Linked DNA regions of Coturnix japonica. The protein of the gene in region 1 interacts with the protein of each later gene in a biochemical or structural test. Links are inferred from orthologs where the notes say so. Each region holds a gene or a part of one and is shown in the gene's direction. Other genes may lie near its edges.

Region 1 (4,028 bases):
TCAATGTGAGTCCTATCTAAAATTCAATTTCTAAAAACCTTCGCTCAATTTAATATTGAGGCATTAACCTGGAGACACCGGATAGACTGACAAATACATTGCTATACTTACGTACACAAAGGTTTTATAATAGAAATGATGTTTCTCTACTGAAGTATCATTTCTGATTAATAACCGAGACATATTGATTTGGAGGGATAAAGAAATGCAATTATAAAACCTTTCTGACTTGCACTGACCGTTCTTATACATCGGACACAAAACCCTACCTGGAGCTAGGTAGGGAACGTTCATTTTCTAAAGCAACGACAACAACGTTTTGTGCCCACAAAATTAATTGACTGCACGACGGGGCTGATTGCGCTCTCCGTTTCAGCCCCCACAGCGTCCCGCTCTACGCCTGCACTGCCAGTCCGTGCGCGAAGTGTTCGGTACGCACCCGCGGACCCACGGCCGCGGTCGCCGGGGTTGGGGTGCAAAGGGCACGGCGCGGGGAGGGTGGGGAAGGCCGTACAGCCGGCTCGGAGCAGGCACGGCGCTGCGGCGGACAGCGCGCGGTGCGTCGCGCCGAGGGGGGCCGAGGGCCGATAGTGGGGTTCTGGTGCGGACGTCCCCGGGCTGGACGGGCGGTGCGCGGTGCCGTCGTTGTGCGGCTCTCCTTGCCGCAGCACGGCATCCACCCGCACCTTCGCGTTTCCTTGTGAAGGTGGAGAGGTGTCTTCCCCCCTCCTTTTTCCTTCCCAGGAATTCATGCGTTTCCCCTCTCCCGCGAGCCGCAGCCGCGGAGGAGGATGGAGAAGCGCGGTGGAAATGTTCGTGGGCGCCCAGCACAAGGGCGGCGGGGCCCCGCGCGGCAGCACCGGGAGGAACCGCGCATCCCCGCAGAAAGGGCCGGAGGGGCCGCCTATCCCTGCGGCCGCTGGGCGACAACAGTCGCCTTCCTCTAGCCCCTTTCTCTTTACCCTCTCCTCCTCCACCTCCGCCACCGCCAATGCCGCGGGGGCGCTCGGGGGGGCAACGGGCAACGACCGGGCTGCCGGGCACTCCCGGCCACTCGCCCCCGACGTGGGGCAGCGGGAGGGGGAGCGCGGGAGCGGCGCTCCGCCATATTCCTGTCTCACCACGCCCGCGTAGCCGAGCCATTGAAAAGCCGGGCGAGCCCGGCCCCCGCTGCCTCCTCTTCCTCTCCGCCGGGTTCTGTCCGCCCGCCCCCTCTCCCGTCTTCCCTGTCAGGGTCGAGCCGTGCCGCGGTAGCTCAACGGCAGCGGCTGTCCCCGCCAGAGGGGCGGGCGAGGAAGCTCCCTCGCCGGGCGCAGCCGAGGTCGCTGGGCTCCGACTCCAGGGCGAGGGCAGCGGCCGGGCGATGCCCGCGCGTAGGTTCGGCGGGCTCTAGCGCTCGACAGCGGGCGGGGTGCGCGCTGCGGGCGGCGGGGGCGGCGGCCGCCGCCGGGGAGTTCGGGGTTCGGCCGGGGAGCGCCGCTGCCGCCGCGGTGGAGGCGTCCGCGCTGTGCGGTGCATGATTGAGAGGAGAGGAGGGGTTGGGAGCGGTGGGGATCCGAGCCGCCCTGCCTCTTTCTTCGCCCGCGTGCGGCATCGAGGCGGTCCCCGCGCCTGCCCTGCGGTGCGCGGTGCGGGCTCCGGCCGGTGCGGGTGTGCGAGAGAGTGAGTGCGTGCGATTTTAGGGGGGTGGGGGCTGTGTTTGAACCAGTTAGGAAGAATGACTCTGGAGTCCATCATGGCGTGCTGCCTGAGCGAGGAAGCCAAGGAAGCCCGGCGGATCAACGACGAGATCGAGCGGCAGCTGCGCCGCGACAAGCGGGACGCGCGCCGGGAGCTGAAGCTGCTGCTGCTGGGTGAGTGCGGCTCGGCGCCGGCAGGCCCGGCCCGGCCCCGCGCGGCTCGGCGCGGCACGGTGCGGGCCGTTCCCGTCTGCCTCCGGGGAGCGCGCCAGGGTCCCTGCGGTCGGGCCTGAGGCAGCGGCGGGGCCGGCCCGGCTCGCCCGGGCTCTCGGCTTGTCGGCCGCGGCCGTCAGAGAGCCGCCGGCCCTGCCCCCGCCGCCGCGGGGCGTGGGTGCCCGCCGTGGTAGGCTCGGTGCGGGAGGGAAGCGGCCTCCAACATGGAGCTGAGAGCGAGGGACGGGAGGGGCGAGCGTCGGGGTGATGGGGGCTCGGGGGAAACTGCCCTGCCCTGTTCCGCGGCTGTTAGCTTGCTTGGCGCATTTTTATTTGTTGTGATTTTTATTTAATGAGGTAAACTGGGATAAGGGGCTGTGCTGGGCTTGTAGAGCGACGTTACGAACGGAAGAGAAACGACGAAGGCCAGCGTGCGGGCAGGGAGCTGATAGCAACCTGAGGCGTGCCGAGGATGACAGGATCCTGTAGTACTTTCGGAGCCCACCCACCCATCAGGAAAGAAAATCCTCGGCATTGTATGTCTCTCATTAGAACGGAGGCGGTTGTTTTGGAGCTCCAAGTATGCAGCAGCGATACTTATCTAGTAGGAATTTGGCTCCTGTTAAAATGAGCCTTTTAAATTAATGTGTTTATCCACGTCCTGTACTGTGGCTGTGCAGTTGCTGCCCGTGACTTGCAGTGGCTGCCATGTGCCCTCCCCAGTGCCTCTGAGTTTTAAGGGAGGGCTGCTCTCATGGCCTGTATGTGGGGCAGGGAACAGGACAGAGAGGTTAGGCAGTGCTTCCCCGTGCAAGTGCTGTTTGTTGCTCTGTGGGATTCACTGTGTCCTCTGACATGGAGGAAGGCTTGGGGCTCCTCAACTGATAGGGACATTGGTGGAGGTGGCGCTTGCAGTAATGGCGTTCTGTCTTGTTTCTGGCCTGGTTCTGCCTGGTGACTGTTGTGGCTGTTTGGGAGTTCACAATAAAGATGAACTAGAGTAGATACCATCCATACGGTTGGACAAATGCGAGCTTAAGTACAGTTAGAGAATGATGCACGCTCACTTCAGCGGAGACAGCTGGCATACCAGGCATGTTAACTCAGGTCCAAACTTTTTAAGTGTTTCCATGTTTTTTGTTGCAGTGAAGTCAGAGTTTTCTCCCAAGCTTTCAAAACTGCAAAATATGTATTGACACCAATAAACTGCCCAGAGAGCCCACCTACCCAGTGCCACTGGCTGTATGCAGACCAAGGGCAGACAAGGAGCTCTCTGGGCGGCTGCTGGTGTGTCTTGCTGGGCTGCTTGCAGGAAAGCTTTCTGCTGATGTTGTTGTATTGTAGAGCCACAGAATGGCTGAGGTTGGAAGGGACCATAAAATTCCAATTCTGCTGTGTGCAGGGCTGCCATCCACCAACTCAGGCTGTCCAGGGCCCCATCCAGCTGGGCCTTGAACGCCTTCAGGGATGGGGCATCCACAGCTGCTCTGAGCAGCCTCTGCTAGTGCCTTGCCATCTCTAAACTAAATCTTCCCTTTTTTAGTTTAATGCCATTCCTTTCTGTCCTGTTCTTATCTGCCTGTGTAAAGAACTGGCCTCCCTCCTGTTTATAAGCTCCCTTCAAGTGCTGGATGGCTGCAGTGATGTCTTCCTGAAGCTTTCTCCAGGCTGAACATGCCCAGCTCCCTCAGCCTTTCTTTGTAGAGGAGGTGGTGTAAGCCACCTCTTCTGGTGTTCTGATGTGCCAGGGGAGATGTAAGCAAGAGGTGCTAGAGACCAGGATGTGTGGGTTCAGTGCCCCTCTGGGCAGCATGGCTGGCTGTCTTTGGGTAACAAAACTGGAGCAGACATTGTTACTGTGTGCACATTTATGGTTTTTCTGTGTCACGCTGTTGTGCTGGGCTGAAAGTGTGTATGCCTGTGCAGCTGTGTGGATTAACACTTAATGATCTCATCTCGTGAAATGTAGATAGTGGTGAACCACTGTTGAAGTCGTGGCATTGGGTAGAGGTTCAAGCGTCAATTTATAATATATAATAAAATAATAATAATTTTATTTTATAATAAAATAATAATTATATAATACATTTTTATATATTATATAAGATAATATATATATATAATAATTTTGAGGAG
Region 2 (3,498 bases), on another chromosome or scaffold:
TGTGAGCGAGCTGCAGGATTTGACCAAAGCTGTCTATTAACAAACCCTTTAAGCTGGAATAATCTGGCACTCAGTGGAAAGAAATACCCCTGTCCATTTCCACTCGTGGCATTTCTCTTGTGCTGGGGCAGGCCTTTGCACGGCTGCACTGCAGATATGCTTGGTAGGATCTGCTTTAGGAAAGAACATTTTTCTTCTATCTCTGTTATTCTCCATCTGGACCAGTTTTGTGGTGGGTCGTGTGTGGAAGCAGGGGATTAATGGTGGAGTGACGTGTTGCTATGTGTAGTTACAACCTAGCTGCACTGGGTTGTGTGAGGCTTTACCTTTCGCTCTTGTACTTTTCCATGTTTGCTATCATGTATGTTATTGTTATCCACAAGGGTTATATCTTCAGCTGTGGTAAATCAGTGTTACTGGAGCTGTCAGTCTGTACCTATGAAGGGGTAGTAGGTCTCCAGACAGCACTGAAATTTATGGGAGGTCCTTTTTATTTGAATCTTCTGAGGTCTTTTCCCCTCCTTTCTTACCACATCACACACAATTCTGAACCCATTAAGTTCTTTTTCCCCTCCCACAGCAGTTCTCTGGTGTCAGCCTCAGCAGCCTGTTTGGAGCACCCAAAGCAGAAGCTTCTCTAGTCTTAATGCTCTGGGTGAGGCTGAACCACTGCTGTTGAACTGAGTGCTGCTTCTCAGTGAAGATATAAGGGACTTTTTTGCACTGTTCTCTTAGCTTATTGCAGCTGTCAGGTAATCCATATTAGCCAAAACCATCCTAACCATGGGTGAAGCTAAAATAAGCAGTAGTTCACTCACTCAGCAGCAGCTGCCTGTTCCTATTCTTCACTTAATTCTGACAGCACTCCCCAGCCATTCTTTGTCTCTTGCTGGTTGTCCTTGCTTGACTTGGGTCAGCATCAGGTGCCAGAAGCAAACGCTTTGAGAGCTGCCTGTTAGAAGGCCTGTATCTAGATGATGCTTTGTATCTAGGTGATGCTCCTAGGTGTTACAGCATGCTACCTTGCGTTGGGGCTGCACTGTGAAGTGTCAGCATGTGTGGCATTCTTTGTTTCTAACCACGCAGAAAATGGCCCAGTTGCTGATCAAGTTTCTGGAGAGAGAGCTCCAGCCATCCTGCCAGGTCACGTGCTTGGAAAGCATCCGCATCCTGTCACGGGACAAATACTGCCTTGAGCCTTTCAGCACCGAGGAAGGGCTGAAGACCCTATCCAGGCATGCTGGCATTGATTACTCAGAGGAGCTCATCCGAGAGGTCCCGGACTTGGAGGTCATCCTGGAATCCCTCAAATGCCTCTGCAACATTGTCTTCAGCAGTCCGAGAGCACAGGAGCTGACAGCTGAAGCCCGGCTGGCAGTGGGCCTGACAAAGCGCATCAAACTCTACAACGAGAGGAGCCTTCCTCATGAAGTCAAGTTCTTTGACCTGCGTCTTCTCTTCCTGCTGACAGCACTGAGAGTGGATATCCGGCAGCAGTTAGCCCAGGAGCTCCGGGGCATCAGCCTGATGACAGACACCCTGGAGCTGACTCTTGGTGTCAAGTGGATGGACCCCTATGAGGTTGCCACTGAGGAAGGATTGCTTCCACCTTTGCCTCGGCAAGAGACAGAGCGAGCCATGGAGATCCTGAAAGTGCTCTTCAATATTACTTTTGATTCCAGCAAGAGGGAGGTGGATGAGGTAAGCTCCTCGAGTGTTGCACCACACTACATTTGCTTGTCTACTCTTATGTTGTGTTAGATACTAGCCCCCTTGCAGCCTCTGCTTGCATGTAAGGGTAGCAAGAGACTTGTGTGTGTGGACCTTGTTCTGCAGGGCACTGCCTCTGATGCATTAAGACTTTACAGCATTAAGACCTGTAAGTTGGGCATTTTTCCTTCTTAATGATATTGACTTGTGCAAGTGGGAAAGCAGAACCCCCCCATGTACACATAACTCACTTGTGTGTGTCCTGCTGCCTTTCACCTCTGGACAAAGTCAGAAGGAGGTCTGATATCATGTCTATTTTATCCCTGTGCCCACTCCTGGGCCTCTTCCAGCCCCTGACTTGGTGCTGTAGGGCAATGGGGAAGATATCTGGCAGCAGATGGAGAATCTGGAGGATAGTTGCACATATACACCCTGCTGTCAGTGAGCAAGTTGTTGGAGGGGAGGGATGGGGCTGTGGGTTGTAGAGACAACAGGCTTTGGTTTGTGGAGACCCTTTTCTGATCAAGGTTTCCATTTTCTATTTTGGAACCAGGAAGATGCTGCTTTGTACCGGCACTTGGGTGCACTCCTGCGCCACTGCCTCATGATCTGTGCTGACGGAGAGGACCGGACGGAGGAGTTCCACAGGTCTGTTAGATAACTACATAATGGCCTTCACTGGACACAGACTTGAGGTCTCCCCAACACTGGCCCTGCCTGACAACAGCCATCAGAGTATGAATGAGTGATGCAGCAGGAGACTCTAGAGACCTACTTGGTCCTACTTGGCCTCTGTGTCAAGGTCCATTGTTTTTCTGTTGTCACTGAAGAATTTTTGGACTTCCAGCAAGTTATTCAACTATGAGGGTTGGGGAAGGAAAGCAGTTACACTTGCTCAATTCTAGTGGTATAGGTAGCTTGGGATCCAACCCAAAGAGAGTTTGGGTCTGTTTTCAGAGTCCTCTTGATCCTGGAAGCTAATAATGAACCTTGATTCCTGTATAGTTGATGAGTTTCTGTGAACAAAGATCCTTGACTATGTATTCACCTCTGTTCTTTCTTAAGCCACACAGTTAATCTTTTGGGCAACCTGCCTCTGAAATGTCTGGATGTTCTCCTGACTCCAAAAGTCCGTCCAGGATCACTTGAGTACATGGGTGTCAACATGGATGCAGTTAATATCCTGTTGGATTTCTTAGAACGGCGCCTTGACAGGGTAAGCTGAGAGGCTGCTGTACAGAGCTTTTCACTGCTGGTTTACACAAGCTCACTGCAGGGCACAAGGAAGCTTGCATTCAGCCTGAATTCAGTATAGAAGTGGCAGTTCTAGTTGGTTGGACTAGAACATTTGTGAACTGGGAGGGTTGCTGTGGCACTGTTGCTTTGGCAGGTAGTGAGACTGACAGAGCCAGCAGATGGTTAGCTGTGTGATTCAAATACAGGTGCTCTGTTTCACTCAAGTCAATTATGATTTGTTGGGCAGCTGAATTGGTTTGATACAGCCAAATCTCTTGACTGGTGGCTTGTTATGATGCTGTCCCCACAGTCTGCTGTCAGAAGACTGGCAGTCATAATGTTATTTGTCAAGACCATTCATCTTTCTTTCCTCCTCCTAAGCGCTTGTCCTCCTCTGTTCCATTGCTTTTGGCAGCCTGATTTTGCACTGTTGTTAAGCTAGTGGCCATTTTCATTCTCTGGAGTTATTCCAGAGGGTCTCCAAATTTGACTGCTGCACTTCTCTGCTCTAGATGTTCTGTGTGAGTAGAAACGCTGAAGAGAGGGACACAG
Region 3 (3,332 bases), on another chromosome or scaffold:
GCACAGCTGCTTCGTGGTGTACCGTGACCTTAAGGTGACCGCCCCCATGAGCACCCACCCACTGTGTGGAAATCTGGGGGCCCTACAGACCTCCAGGTCCTATGGGCACCCTACACCCAGCAGGAAGCCCCTAGGCACTGTGGGCATCTCTGGGACCCTGCAGTCATCCCTGCACCCCATATTGCACCCATCCTAACGTGCACAGGCACCCTCAGCCCAGCTGCCACCCATGGCCGTGGGCTGGGCTGTGGCTCAGGGGTGGCTCCATGTCCCAGCAGCCAGCAAACATCCTCCTGGATGAGTTCGGTCATGTCCGCATCTCAGACCTCGGACTGGCCTGTGACTTCTCCAAGAAGAAACCCCATGCCAGCGTGTGAGTGTGCCCGCCCATCTCGGCACTCCCCTGTGATTGCTGGGCACGGCCCTGACCTCGCTCTGTGCCCCCAGGGGTACCCATGGCTACATGGCTCCGGAGGTGCTGCAGAAGGGAACGGCGTATGACAGCAGTGCCGACTGGTTCTCGCTGGGCTGCATGCTCTTCAAGCTGCTCCGCGGGTGAGTGTAGGCACGGAGGGTGCTGGGGAGGCTGTGCAGCAGGGGCATGGCTGAGCCCCACTCTGTGTGACTGCAGGCACAGCCCTTTCCGGCAGCACAAGACAAAGGACAAGCACGAGATCGATCGCATGACCCTCACCATGGTGAGCTGGGGGTCCTTGGACTGTGCTGCAGCACTCACGTGTCTGTGTGGCTGTGAGCATCCAAACCTTTCCCTGCAGGCTGTGGAGCTGCCCGAATCCTTCTCCCCTGAGCTGCGCTCGCTGCTTGAGGGGCTGCTTCAGCGCGACGTCAACCAGCGGCTGGGCTGCATGGGGCGTGGGTGAGTCCCAGATATGGGGGTGGGGCCACGGGTGGCACCGCTGTGGGCAGCAGTGCCACAGTCACCCTGCATTGTCCTACAGCGCTCAGGAGGTGAAGGAGGAGCCCTTCTTCAAAGGCCTGGACTGGCAGATGGTGTTCCTGCAGAAGGTGAGAGGGGTGCAGGGCAGAGCCTGTGCAGGCAGGCACCCCCTGACTGCCTCCCTCCTGCCCACAGTACACCCCACCTCTCATCCCGCCCCGAGGTGAGGTGAATGCAGCTGACGCCTTTGACATCGGCTCCTTTGATGAGGAGGACACGAAGGGCATCAAGGTAGCAGGCTGGGGGCTGGCACCGGGCAGTGGCTTGGCATGGGGCAGGCCTTGATCCCACCTCCCCACCAGTTGCTGGAGAGTGACCAGGAGCTGTACCGCAACTTCCCACTCACTATCTCGGAGCGCTGGCAGCAGGAGGTGACTGAGACCGTCTTTGACACCGTCAATGCAGACACAGACAAGCAGGAGGCGCGCAAGAAAGCCAAGAACAAGCAGCTGGGCCACGAGGAGGGTGAGTGGGGCCAGGTGTCCCCTGCCCCATCCCTGGTGTCGGCCGGCACCGCACAGCGGTGGCAGTGCCTGGCACTGAACCTTTCTCCTGTGTTGCGGGGGCCACAGACTACGCCATGGGCAAGGACTGCATCGTACATGGGTACATGTCCAAGCTGGGCAACCCCTTTCTGACCCAGTGGCAGCGCCGCTACTTCTACCTCTTCCCCAACCGGCTGGAGTGGCGTGGGGAAGGCGAGTCACCGGTAAGGCGGGCAAGGGGGGGATGTGGGGTTCATCTATTGAGGCTTGGGCTGAGCCCATCCTCTCAGCAGTCCCTGCTCACCATGGAGGAGATTGACTCAGTGGAGGAGACTCAGGTGAAGGAGCGCAAGTGCATCCTGCTCCGCATCCGTGGCGGCAAGCAGTTCGTGCTGCAGTGTGATGTGAGTGTGCCACGGGCCCTTGGGGGGCCACACTAATCCACTGTATGGCAGGATGGTGAGTCGGGGGAGCTCTGCTCTGAGCCATGTGCTTCCCCACAGAGCGACCCCGAGCTGGTGCAGTGGCAGAAGGAGCTGCGGGATGCCCAGCGCCAGGCCCAGCAGCTGCTGCAGCGGGTGCCACGCATGCAGAACAAGCCACGCTCACCTGTGGTGGAGCTCAGCAAAGTGCCCTTCCTGCAGCGCTCTGCCAATGGGCTCTGACCCCCTGCCCTGCCTCCCCCCGCCCTTCCCACCCTACCATTAATTTATTGGGTTGGGTTCCACGTACCCCCACTCCTTGGTGTCCTTGAGCAGAGCTCCAGGAGGACGCCTGGTGCCAGTGCCAGCCCCCTGCCCATGGAAGGGCACATCCATGGCATCACCGTCTGGAGCGGAGCTGGTGCTGAACGTGCAGCACCACTCCCTGCTCCCGCTCCGGCTCAGATGAAGGCAGTCCCGTGTCCCCACCTGCTGTCCTGCCCCCAGACCACCGCCCCCCTTCACCACCCACGTGTGCCAAACGGGGCAGCAGCGGCTCCCTGTGCCGCACGTGCCCCAGCCCGGCTGTGCCCGTCTGTGGGTGCCAAGTCCCCTGTGTGAATAACAGTGTGTGTGTGTGTGTGTGTGTGTGTGTGTGTGTGTGCGCGCCCGGGGGGCCCCCCTGTAAATACTGTGCCATGGGCCCCCTGCCCCCTGAGCCAGCGGGTGATGCGGGAAGAGGCAGCTGGGGAGGAGAAGTGGGGACGACCCCCGACTCCGCCTGCTGTGCCCGCTGGCATCTGTAAATAGTAGCGTGGGGAGGAGCGGCGGGCAGAGCACGGTGCGAGTGAGGGATGGATGAGCGGAAACGTGAGAATGCCTAAAAAAAACACACACACACAAAAAAAAGAAGGGAAACAAACAAACAAAAAAGCAGTTTTTTTTATAATAAAAATGTGGAAAACCACAGTCAGGCTCCGGAGTCTGCGGGGCGGCACCGGGACGAGGAGAGTGGGGAGGACATGGCGAGCGCCCGGTGCCGTGGGGGCGCTGGGGGGTTACCCGGTGCCGGCCCCGCCCCGCGCCGCCGCGCTGCGCTGCGCTGCGCTGCACCGCGCCACCGCCACCCCCGCGCGCAGCCATTGCGGGCAGGCGCGGAGCTGCTGCTGGGCCCCCGTGCGCTGTACGGCCCGGACCGGCCCGGCCCGGATCCCGGGGACATGGTGCGGGAATGGCCCGCGCCGCAGACACCTTCCCGCTGCACCGCCTCGTGTGGCACAACCGGCACCAGGCGCTGGACAGTGCGCTGCGCTCCGGCACGGTGCGCGCCGGGTGCGGGGGGGGGCGCGGGCACGGCACCGGGCATGGCACGGCGGGGGATGCGGGGCAGCGGCGGTACGGGGACACGGAGGAACCGGGGAGGTGCTGGGGAGATGGGGGGACGTGGGGTCTTGGGAGCGCTGGGTG
Region 4 (3,500 bases), on another chromosome or scaffold:
ATCCTGTATAGTACTTCTGTTGTTTTTATTTCTAAAATGACAGGTTTTTTTGTACTGTTCCTTTCTGTGCCTCATGAGAAGTAAAATCCAAGTTGGGTGTAAGGCCATCATAAAATGCTGTGTTCAGAAAAATAAACATCCACATAACCCAAACAGGAAATCTGAAAGAGTACATTAGAGTACTTGCATGTGATGGTATACTGTCATTCACTGCTGTTTCTATGACTTAAGATTATCTCTCAGTGGCAGATCTGTAGGAAAGGTACAGCATCTTAAAGCCTGAGGAGCATATAAGAGGTTTGGAACTGATGTATTTGTATTATTTCTAGATGTGATCGAGGCCTTATCCAATCCAATTAGATATGTAAACTTGATGGAGCAGAGAGCTAAGCAATTGGCAGCACTGACTCTGGAAGATGAAGAAGAGGTAAAGAAAGAGGTAAGGGGGGTTTTAGAGTCTCTGCAAATTACACTGCTGTGCTTAAAGATATTTACTTCACTTGGGAAGTCCTCAAATTGTGTGTATTGATTGCTTGAATACTTGCTAACATCTCATTCAGAATGAGACTAGAGTATATGACCGCACAGCAGCATTGTGCTGTGTGTGTGCTTCCACCAGAAGAAGCATGTTGTGCAAAACCTGCAGTACTGCTCAGAGGTAAAGAGAGACTAAAAGCTGACTGGGAAACAGAGTTAGGTTGTTGCAATGTTTCATGTAGCACATTAAATCATTAAAGTCAGTGCCTGTTGTTTTCCAGGGTGGTGCAAAAATTGCCTTTATGAATATATATATTTAAATATATACATAAAAATATACAATATATATATATATAGTGTGTATATATATATTATATAAGTAACAATGCTGTACGAGCAGCTTTGCCTGAAAGTATTGTACAGTATTGTAGGCTCTGTTTATAGCTCTTTGTTGTACATACAATTGCATAGATGTAATTTTGAGCATGCTTCATCATGCTGACAGTTTAGCTTTCACTTCCAATGAAGTAAGTCTGTATTCCTCCAGATGTTCAATCTCTCTTCCAGACGTTATCACTGTGACACCTTCAGCATGGTTTGAGAACATCAACTTTGTATTTTGAATATTGCTTGAATCAAAAGGCACTCTGAAGGGGTCTCTAGCAAAGATGAATACTTTCATAATCCTAAACTGCTCTCAGCTACGCTAACTGCCTTCTTCAATTCTCGGATGTGCAAAGCATCACTGAACTAGATTTTGTAACCAAGAATACATTCCCAAAGCAGACCAGAAAAGTGAAAGTCATTACAATTCAGTGGCCAACAATTTACTCTTTGTGCAGTGTCACAAGTTCGGCTGAATGAGGACACTGTGAAATGCTCAGTAGTATCTTAGACAGTTATCTAGGACACTCTACACATGAGATTCTATTTTAATAGCAAAATCTTTTTTTAACATGATCCTTTAAATACCTTAGAGGTCATTTTTACTTTTGAAAAAAGTCCAGATTTCTCTGGTCTGTACAGGCTTGTTTGCTAGAAAAATTCTATCACAGAGTATCTTCTTAAGCAAATGCGAAGATGGAAACCTGAGTTGTAGTGCTTCAGTAGTATTACCATGTGTCAGGGAGCTTTAAAGCTTTTGGGATAAAGGAGTGTACTTCAGAGTAGCAGAGAAATATTTTTAAGGGAAAACTGTATTGATTGCAGCGGTGCATTTACTAAAAATGTATAACCGTTCAATTAGATGCAGTAGAAATAGACAGGTTAAAAAAATGCCACTCAAAATGGCAATTTAAGTGTACCATTGTTACTATCTATTTATAAACTGTGATTCTAGGTAAGATAATTGGCAGCTGGGCTGTGCTTGGAAATACTGAGTTACCTGATCTTATCTGATGAAACATTTTCTTCAGCAGTCAGCAGGACTGACTGGTTTGTTTACTTACACTTGCCCACAAGAACCACGTTGATTATAAATGACAAGCACATTCACTGGCAACACAGCTAAATAATTCTGAGTATGTCTGCCAGACATGTACATGTAAGTACACCTGCACTCAGTTTCCTTATGTGCAGTTTCTGTCTACACCCTATTAATGTTTGTGTCTAAAGCTGTGCTGCCTCCACGCACATATTCCCTTCCCCACACTCCTTCCCCACTTCTCAATCACTCTTATATATCTGAGCTGCATTCTTGCATCTATCAAAGGAAAACTGAAGGCTTTTCTTTGCTACTTAGAAGTTTAAGCTGCAGCTTGCTTGGTGGGAAGTTCCCCTGACTTCTTCCAAAACAGTAGTAAAGAAAGAAATCTAGTAGTGAATTGTTCTGAATGAATAAATTTACCTTTCTCTAAGCTTCAAATTATAGTGCCTGTTAATTGTCATTTACAGCATCTATTCTGTTTGTTTTGTAATATTCCCATTATGAGTTACAGATCTAGGTGGAGTAATGGAAATTAAATTATTCTGACACGTCTTATAGAGAAACTTGCTTATACTTTGCCAAGATGGAGCCAAACTGACTTCAGGTCTTTCCTCCTGGTTTGGCAGTGCAGCACAGATGTACTCAGTACCAGAAGAGGATCTCACAATCCCAGTACATCGCAACTCTTTTTCTCTTCAGAAATAAATATGCAGCCCATATAAATAAGTACTTGTATGAGTATGTATCTTTCAACATAGTAAACATACTGTCTTGCAAAAGACATGGAAACGTGTGGAAATATACTGGAAATATAAATTCTTGGGCTGGATTGCATTGTATTTTAAAAAGAGCCTAAAATGTTCTCCACCAGGGGAAAATCATGTTTACTTTACCATTCTGTGTGATGAATTATGAGAAGAGAAAGTGCTTTTTAATGAGATTAGATTTGCTTGATGCAGTGAAAATTACTCTTTATTCACTTCCTGATCCTGTCTCACATTTCTGCCTTTGTTTCTGAAAGCAGCTGTTTTATGTCCCAAACTGACAGGCTATATTAATAGCTCTCAACAAGCTGCAATGCAGCATTTCACATACAGATATAGAAGATGACAATACCCATTTTACACATAATGACTTTTAGGCTGCCTACTTGCCAGAAGATAGGAATCCCAGCATGATGTGTGTTAAATATTGATCTATATAGATAGATAAATATTGATCTATAGATAAATTTCAATAGATAAATATTGATTTTTATATATATGAATATATATTGTCACACTAATGGATTGCATCCTGTGAGAAATGTATTTTAATGTATTTTAAGGGGAGTTGAGGGGATTACCATGCCTCTATGTGTTGGTCACAGCTCCAGCTTTTGCCCATGACATTGTTCTACTGTCAGAAATGCTGGCTAGGTTATGTTTGTCCTTATTTTATTGCAGTCACCTCTGCTTTAAAGAAGTAAAGTTTTTGGCATTAGTTTTCAGTGACATCATGTTTCTGACTACAGAATCTCTCTCCTGTAACTTTGGTAGAAATAAGCTGTTGAGTCCATTCTTTTTGCAACATAGACTGCGTTGTGAGGGCCAAGATG

The links.
Region 2: the proteins of guanine nucleotide-binding protein G(q) subunit alpha (region 1) and RIC8A form a complex in vitro, tested with the Homo sapiens proteins (2 studies listed by BioGRID). The link is inferred for Coturnix japonica from reciprocal best matches to the Homo sapiens genes GNAQ and RIC8A.
Region 3: the proteins of guanine nucleotide-binding protein G(q) subunit alpha (region 1) and GRK2 form a complex in vitro, tested with the Homo sapiens proteins (3 studies listed by BioGRID). The link is inferred for Coturnix japonica from reciprocal best matches to the Homo sapiens genes GNAQ and GRK2.
Region 4: the proteins of guanine nucleotide-binding protein G(q) subunit alpha (region 1) and PLCB1 form a complex in vitro, tested with the Homo sapiens proteins (2 studies listed by BioGRID, with this or other methods). The link is inferred for Coturnix japonica from reciprocal best matches to the Homo sapiens genes GNAQ and PLCB1.

What each region holds. Positions count from the first base shown.
Region 1 is NC_029547.1:34,140,840-34,144,867, reverse strand, and holds the start of guanine nucleotide-binding protein G(q) subunit alpha, read left to right. Parts: upstream 1-1,228; 5' UTR 1,229-1,373; intron 1,374-1,708; 5' UTR 1,709-1,717; coding exon 1,718-1,853; intron 1,854-4,028.
Region 2 is NC_029520.1:1,396,882-1,400,379, reverse strand, and holds part of RIC8A (synembryn-A), read left to right. Parts: intron 1-1,086; coding exon 1,087-1,701; intron 1,702-2,263; coding exon 2,264-2,358; intron 2,359-2,775; coding exon 2,776-2,926; intron 2,927-3,498.
Region 3 is NC_029520.1:143,770-147,101, forward strand, and holds the end of GRK2 (beta-adrenergic receptor kinase 1), read left to right. Parts: coding exon 1-34; intron 35-275; coding exon 276-373; intron 374-447; coding exon 448-555; intron 556-631; coding exon 632-698; intron 699-776; coding exon 777-877; intron 878-959; coding exon 960-1,026; intron 1,027-1,093; coding exon 1,094-1,189; intron 1,190-1,260; coding exon 1,261-1,423; intron 1,424-1,530; coding exon 1,531-1,667; intron 1,668-1,733; coding exon 1,734-1,847; intron 1,848-1,946; coding exon 1,947-2,108; 3' UTR 2,109-2,723; downstream 2,724-3,332. Other genes in the region: ANKRD13D (ankyrin repeat domain-containing protein 13D), read left to right, coding at 2,724-3,197. UniProt on the Homo sapiens protein: Specifically phosphorylates the agonist-occupied form of the beta-adrenergic and closely related receptors, probably inducing a desensitization of them. Key regulator of LPAR1 signaling.
Region 4 is NC_029518.1:12,402,393-12,405,892, reverse strand, and holds part of PLCB1 (1-phosphatidylinositol 4,5-bisphosphate phosphodiesterase beta-1), read left to right. Parts: intron 1-329; coding exon 330-439; intron 440-3,500.